2 linked regions of the Tribolium castaneum genome follow. Each later gene encodes a partner of the first gene's protein in a complex. Links are inferred from orthologs where the notes say so. Each region holds a gene or a part of one and is shown in the gene's direction. Other genes may lie near its edges.

What was found.
Region 2: HDAC3 (region 1) and NKAP family protein CG6066 share a complex: the UniProt entries of both Homo sapiens proteins name them as parts of the notch corepressor complex. The link is inferred for Tribolium castaneum from reciprocal best matches to the Homo sapiens genes HDAC3 and NKAP.

The regions. Positions count from the first base shown.
Region 1 is NC_087401.1:11,246,561-11,251,080, reverse strand, and holds the start of HDAC3 (histone deacetylase 3), read left to right. Parts: upstream 1-1,512; 5' UTR 1,513-1,674; coding exon 1,675-1,879; intron 1,880-1,927; coding exon 1,928-2,804; intron 2,805-4,520. Other genes in the region: flap endonuclease GEN, read right to left, coding at 607-760, 805-1,084, 1,130-1,287. UniProt on the Homo sapiens protein: Histone deacetylase that catalyzes the deacetylation of lysine residues on the N-terminal part of the core histones (H2A, H2B, H3 and H4), and some other non-histone substrates.
Region 2 is NC_087400.1:4,953,842-4,957,130, reverse strand, and holds NKAP family protein CG6066, read left to right. Parts: upstream 1-1,440; 5' UTR 1,441-1,532; coding exon 1,533-2,432; 3' UTR 2,433-2,485; downstream 2,486-3,289. Other genes in the region: waprin-Rha1, read left to right, coding at 922-1,147, 1,195-1,337. UniProt on the Homo sapiens protein: Acts as a transcriptional repressor. Plays a role as a transcriptional corepressor of the Notch-mediated signaling required for T-cell development. Also involved in the TNF and IL-1 induced NF-kappa-B activation.

The DNA.
Region 1 (4,520 bases):
ATTTACTATTTTCTGGTTCTGGTTCAAGAAAATTTTCAGGTGTTAGATCTCTCTGTGTTAGGAACGGGAATTTTTCTGAAATTTACTCTAACGGAGCTAAATGTAAACCTTACAGAAACCCATTACTTTTTCCCTCTTCTTGAGGAGGCAATTTTTTTTCCTCCTCAAATTGTCCTATTGCCCTAGTGTTGTTTTTCCAGTTGTTAATTTTCTACTAATTACTTACTACGAAAGTTTATACAAAATAAATTGTTCATCCATACTTTCGACGATCTTTAAGAAATTTATTTCTTAGCTCTCTTAGCTATGAAATGTAAAGAGTTATAGGCTGTAGCAGATTTTTTGAGAATATCCCTATTAAAGTGGGTAATTTATAAATTAGCAACAGTGAAAAATTAGCCAATTATTTTGATAAATATTTTTCTGATGTACCAAAAAAATTGTAAGTGTAATTAAAGTAATCTTTCTGGTAGGTTCCCAGATATTTTAAAAATTGTCGAAATAATTCCTGTATTGTATATTTGGATAATAAATTGATGGATTGATCAGAAAAAAATAATAATAAAATAAAAAAATCAAACAATCATTCGCAATTCGGGGACTCACTCAGTCGCTCATTGGCCACACTGATGTCATAAACGTCCACAGAGCCCCCTTTGGCCGCCTGATTGCCCTGCTGCGAGATGGAAAAATTGCGATAAACGACACGTGCCCCATACGCGAAACAATCCGAATCCTGACTAATAATCCCATCGACGAGCTAAAACAACCCCTTGAACCTTAGAAAAAAAAATATGTTTTTACCCCAGTTTCATTCAATTGTGCGCACAAAGCCTCGGCCTCGCCCTCCCCAGTCACACACGCAAGCCCCAACAAACTCAACATCTCCTCGCACCGTTTCAACGTGTGATTAAACCTCGACCTGTCCTTGGTCTTGGCCCCATTTTTGGGCTTCGCCCCTTTGAACTGCAGGGCATTGCGGGCGGCGATCGTCTTGTATTTGAGCTCGGGGGCGCGCCCCTCGAGCACAAACACCACATTTACGTCCATTAGGAGCAAGTAACAAGTGCGGAAATACAAATTTCTGGAAAAAAAAATCAAAATTTTGAACCGGTGTCAGTCACCTAACCTCAAGTACATGCGGGGTTGCACCGTGTATTCGGTCACGTTTTGCGACTCGCACACCCAGCACGACAAGTCGATGGCCACGGTCTTGCCCTGCAGCTCGTAGAGGGGCTTACGCTCCCCGAAAGGGGCCAGAAGCGTCCACAGGTCTTTGATGCCCATTTTCAAACTTGGGGATTTTGGTTTTGGAGTTGGTGACAAAGTCTCGACGAAAATCGGGGGATAAAACGCTTAAAACAGACTCAAATGGGCAAATTTCGTCTTTATTCTCAAAAACAACATTGCGTCCAGAGTTTTATTTGTGAAATATGTTCTGTAATTAATGATAATAATCTTTACGACAACACCATTTCTTAATGGGTGTTTTTGCGTCGTTCGGTTGGTAGTGAGGCGCAGAAACGTCACGTTTGTTTGGGGGCTGTTTTATCAGAAACCACAATGGGGGCTATCCGGAAGCATGCCGGAGGATAGGTTTTGGCTGACGAAACGCCTTGTTGTTATAGTTTTGTTTTTGTATTTTTTGTACGTGTGGAAGGAGCTATCGGCGTGATGTCGAAGCACCGAGTGTCTTACTTCTTCAACCCTGACGTGGGGAACTTCCACTACGGGACGGGGCACCCCATGAAGCCCCACCGCCTGTCTGTGATCCACAGCTTAGTGTTAAATTACGGGCTGCACAAGCACATGCAGATTTACCGGCCTTACAAGGCCAGCGCCCACGACATGTGTCGCTTCCACTCGGACGAATACATCGGTAAAGCCACCACGGTAATTTCACTTGCCTTAACCCCCACACTTGTAGATTTTCTGCAAAAAGTCACGCCGCAGAACATCCAAGCGTTCACCAAGCATCTGAGTCACTATAACGTGGGGGACGATTGCCCGGTCTTCTGGGGGCTGTTTGACTTCTGCTCCATGTACACGGGGGCGTCGCTCGAGGGGGCCATGAAACTGAACAATAACCACTGCGACATTGCTGTTAATTGGTCAGGGGGGCTCCACCACGCCAAGAAATTCGAAGCCAGTGGTTTCTGCTACGTTAACGATATTGTGATTGGGATTTTAGAATTGCTCAAGTACCACGCGAGGGTTTTATACATTGACATCGACGTGCATCACGGAGACGGCGTCCAGGAAGCCTTCTATCTCACTGATCGGGTCATGACGGTCAGTTTCCACAAATACGGCAATTATTTCTTCCCGGGCACGGGCGATATGTACGAAGTGGGGGCGGAAAGTGGCCGTTATTACTCCGTCAACGTGCCGCTGAAGGAAGGAATCGACGATTCCAGCTATTGGATGGTTTTTAAGCCGGTCATTTCAAGCGTGATGGAATTTTTCCAACCCACTGCAATTGTACTACAATGTGGGGCCGATTCCTTGGCCAACGACCGCCTGGGGTGTTTCTCCCTGAGTACCAAAGGGCACGGGGAGTGTGTTAAGTTCGTCAAGAGTCTGAATGTTCCAACTTTGGTGGTTGGAGGTGGCGGTTATACGCTGAGAAATGTCGCGAGGTGTTGGACTTACGAAACTTCGTTACTTGTGGATGAACAAATTTCAAATGAATTGCCCTACACCGAATATTTGGAGTTTTTCGCACCCGACTTTACCCTACATCCTGAGGTGGTCACAAGGCAGGAAAACGCAAACAGTCGCCAGTATTTGGAGGCCATTACTAAGTAATTTTTAAATTGATAAGTATAAGGGAAAAATGACGAACGTCATTCAAAGAAAAACAACTTTTTTTAGTTAATTAGTTTTAATTTTGACTATGGAGGGCTATAACTTGAGCTAAAAAAATAGTAAAAACTACATGACATTATTAGTTCAAATTCTTGAAAAGTAGTTATTTCCTGTTTTTCCCCTGTACTCTTCAATTGAAGGTTGAACAACTATACCAGTGGCGCAGCCAGAGATAGAGTTTATGGGGGTTTACCTTCGTAAAAATATGTTTTTCATTAGTAAACTAATAACGACGCAGAAATGAAAAATGAGCTCTTTACCTGCATATGATTATTTTAGTTCCTTGTAGCACTTAAAATTAACTAAAAATAAATATGTTGCTGAATGTTTTTTCGGAAATGTTGTTCGGGGCAAAAATAATGTAAAAAAAATTGTCTTAAATTCAAGGTTATTTGTTGTATAGCTCACATTTTGTAGCTACAAAAATTATTAAGAATTTCACACAAAAAGCTTTATCTGTCTGTTTCCTGCCTTATTTTATAGGTGGTAATTGTTTTAATATTTTTGTTTAAGTGTTTCTATTTTAATTATTTTCAAAAATATATGCAAAATAATCGGTAAATAATATTGGTATTTTTTGTTTTGTGTAGATAATATTATTTTTTTTTATTTTTTTATTATTACCAGAAAGATAAGGGAGTGTACCTACTATCAAAAACAGTAATCTGTTAAAAATGTCGGTTTTCATAAAAAATAACGTCATTACTCAAAAAGTTATTTCTACCATGGTATCAGAAATGTAGCATTTATTTTACAAAAAACCTCTCCGAAGATTTTTCTGAAATATAACGAAAATATGGATTTTGTGGGTTGCTTTTCTCGGAATTTTCGGAAGTAGAAAAAATCGAATGTCTACAATGATTGTCTGGAAAGTTTTGTTTTATTACTGCAACTTAAATTATTTTGCATGATTATGTTCTCAACCCCCAACAATCTCCCTTGCTGCGCCACTGAACTATATTAAGGAGGTCTGAAGTGGAACTGAACGCAAAATTTGAAATTGAATTTTTATGAAAAGTATTGCACAAAATAGTTTCATTACAACTGGGTGTTGTTCTAACGTTGAATCATTCCCGAGTTTAAAACGGTTAGAAACGTGATTTGTTTATTTTTCTATAAAAAAATTAAGTTCAAATAATAATAATAATTTATGAAAAAAAAAACATGGCTTAAAATTAATTTTTTTAAAGTAGAAGTTATTTTTAGAACATAATCTTTTACCAAAAAAATCGCCATAGGAGGAAGCCATTTGAAAAAAAAATTAATAACACGTAGACTAAAAGAAATTTCAAAAAATTTTATTCTTAAAAAATTATCACATTTTTAAAGTAGTCGATGACTTAATAATTAGTTTTTTCGTAAGGTACATAGTTTAAGCATAAAATGCTTGGTTCCATACTTTTGCCCAACGTTGTATATGAATTTGAAAAAAAAACTTCTATGTCATTAAAAAATAAAATGAAAAAGCCCATTTTTTGGTCATTTTTTTTTTATTAAAAAATGGTACATAATTTTTTGATAAATTTTATTAGGAGTGTTGTACATGACTTATTTATGGTACTGTATTTTTTCAAGCCATTTCAACTTTAACTTTTTCCATAAAGCATTAAAATTATTAAGCTGTTTAACCCGTTAAAACTTGGTCACAAATA
Region 2 (3,289 bases), on another chromosome or scaffold:
AACGATTAAAGTGGATCAAAGAATAAAAAACAATTTTAAGAAATGGCGTTAAAAAGAAAAAGAAAAAAATATGCATTTAAATTTTTTTTATCTAAATAATATAGTAATAAAAACAATTTTTTTCGGTCGTTTTATAATTTATAATCATACCTTGCATTTTTTATACAGCGTTGGCGGAAGTATAGAACCAAGCGTTTTCAAAAATTGTTTTTTTCGAAATTTTTGTTTGTTATTGATTACGTGTATAATACACGTATTAATAAATTTTTTGAAAAATTCAAATAAGAAAAAATTTACCAATCGACCATTTTATTATATTGAGTAAGATAAAAAAATAACTAAATCAAATATAAATATAAATATAAATAAATATAAGAGATTTTTTAAATGTTTCTTTTTAAATAAAAATTGACCTGTCTCAAAAATTTTATTTTTTTTGTTTTTTTTTACTAAGATATTTAAGGTGGCTTGTTTTTAAACTAAATGTGAATTTTGTTGTTATACTTTTGGTTCAATCTGTTTACAGTCTTAAACGTGAAACTGTATAACGATTGAAATAGTGTGACTTCTCTGATAAAACTTTACTCACAGCAGACGCTTTTCTGACTGAAAACGCGATGAAACGCTCAAAAAACTAAAATTTTTGACCTAATTTTGTTTAGCAGCAGGAATTGAAGAAAAAAACAGTAGTAAATTAATACAAGTATAATAAAAATGGGTAATTTTTAATACATTTTTTCTATTTTTGTAGATTTCAACCAATTACTAAATTGCGCAAACCGCAGTGGAACCCCACATCCGCCCTAAATCCGCACACTTAATCAAAATTTCAATTTGTCGTTTTGTGGTTTCCGTTTCTTCGACTCTTGCACCTACACAACATCCAATTCCATTCATCTTAAAGCCCTACAAGTGTTAACAATGCAGGCAAAACTTTTCTTAATCCTTTCCCTTCTAACTGTTTTTGTGTACGGCCAAAGGCCTCGAACAAAATCGGGAGACTGCCCCCCGTACCCCAACGTGGGGATCTGTGAAGTGGCCTGTTTCGAAGACAACCACTGTGCCGGCCATTTCAAATGCTGCCGGACGGCTTGTGGCGGCACTTTTTGTACGGCCCCTGTAACAACGAGGCGAATTCAAAGAGGAGGTGAAATGGATACAATTTTTTTTAAAGAAAATTAATTTGTGTTTTAGAGAAACAAGGGTCTTGTCCAGTTGCACCGTCAGGCCCTTGGGTGTGCTCCAGCAGGTGTGCCCTAGACTCGGACTGCAGGGGGGCTAAAAAGTGCTGCAGGAATCGGTGCGGGGCCATGGCTTGCACCAAACCCGAATTTTAATCAGTTACAATTGTAGTATCGTTGTATGAATAAAAATTAGCAAATCGACGCATTTTGTGTTTTATTTATTTCCTTAAAATTTGAAATGGTTTGAGCAAATGTCAATTCTAGCTTATGGGAATGACGTAAAGTGACTTCAGTTTGACAGTTTTTTTTAAAGGTTATGTTATTGTAAAAAAATTGATTTTTTACGAAATGATGGATGTGGCAAAACACAGACGCAGTCGGTCCCGTTCCCCGGACCACCGGAGACACAAAACTGATAGATCGTTTAAAAATGATCGTAATAGGAGACACAGGTCCAGGTCTCATTCCAGGTCAAGAGACCGCCATTCCAGCAGACGCAGGTCTAGATCCAGAGGCACCACAACAAACGGTTTTGAACGAAACGACAAATATGAAGTCACAAAGAAAAAACACCTTGAGGACGAGTTCATGGAGTCCCGACGCCAGGAGCGTGAGATCCTCGGAATGAGGGATTACCCCAGCATTTGGGGCCAATCCCCCGAACCCGAAGACTCCGACAGTGACGTCGAAGACGTCACCAAGAACGCCCCCAAGCTAAAAAAACGGAAGAAGGAAAAGAAAAAATCCCACAAGAAGCATAAAAAGAAGAAGAAAAAGAAGAAGTCTTCAAGTGAGAGCAGTTCAGGGGAGGAAGAGTGGGTCGAGAAGACCACAACCACCAACAAACCCCAAACCAATGCGGAAGAGACCGAAGAGGTGATCGTCGGCCCCATTTTGAAGCCCCATGCCGCCCTGACTCACAAGGAAATGGGCAAGGCTTTGCTCCCTGGTGAGGGGGCTGCCATGGCTGCGTACGTCGCCGAAGGAAAACGGATACCAAGAAGAGGTGAAATTGGACTCACGTCTGAAGAAATTGAAAGTTTTGAAGCCGTGGGTTATGTCATGTCCGGCTCAAGACACAGGAGAATGGAGGCTGTGAGGATACGGAAAGAAAACCAGATTTATTCAGCTGATGAGAAGCGGGCTTTGGCCATGTTCAGCAAAGAAGAACGGCAGAAGAGGGAGAACAGGATTTTGGGACAGTTCAGGGAAATGGTCAACTCCAAACTGGCCGAAAAGAAAAATTAATTTCGTAGAATTGAGTGTTTATTACGTATAAATAAAGTTTTTTTATTACTTAATTTGTTTTACATTGTTGTACCCAACCGGTCCATCCCCCAGGGAAATGTTTGGCGCTGAAAATTGAACTTAAATTTCGGGTCAAAGTGGCCTATGATTTCGAATTAAGTTGGCAACATCTAGTTGCCAACTAAATTTAAAAATCACAGGCGACTTTAATTAAAGACGGAACAAAACGAATGTTTTACTTTACGTATCCCAGATTTTTGGCTAAATCTAGCGCAGCTCGGCTCCGCCGCCCCGACTGACAACTGAAAACTAAAGGCGTGGTGTTTGTAGGCTTTTCTCTTCGGAAAACTTGACGAAATTGTTCATCACTTGTGTTCTGCAGCGTTTCTTCTAAAGTGGCCACTTGAAATGAAGTACTTTGCAGTTAATTCATAAGTTAATTAGGGTATTTACAAGGTATATTGATGCTTCCAGGAATTGTTCCAGTTTGCGCTAATTCCGACGGGTTCCTCACATCAATTAGAAGAACCTGTCTGTTGTCTTTTAGGCTTCTAACGTAGTCAAAAGTTACTTCGTCTGACATTCTGTGGCTTATATTTAACGTTTGTGAGAATTGGGATAGAGGGCGCTCGAGTGACTGGCAATTTTTTATCGGATTGAAATGAATTCTATGCACAAGTGAATGAGCCCTTATGTGCTGTTTCAATCCAATAAAAAAGCCCAGTTGCTACAAAACGTCGTGATTGTTCAAATATGTGAGAAATTTGAAGCTGAGAATATTGATTTGAAGTCAATTTTACTTTTTACGGTTGGTAGAAGCTGTCGTTATTTTATAATTTAAATCAATGACTCACCAC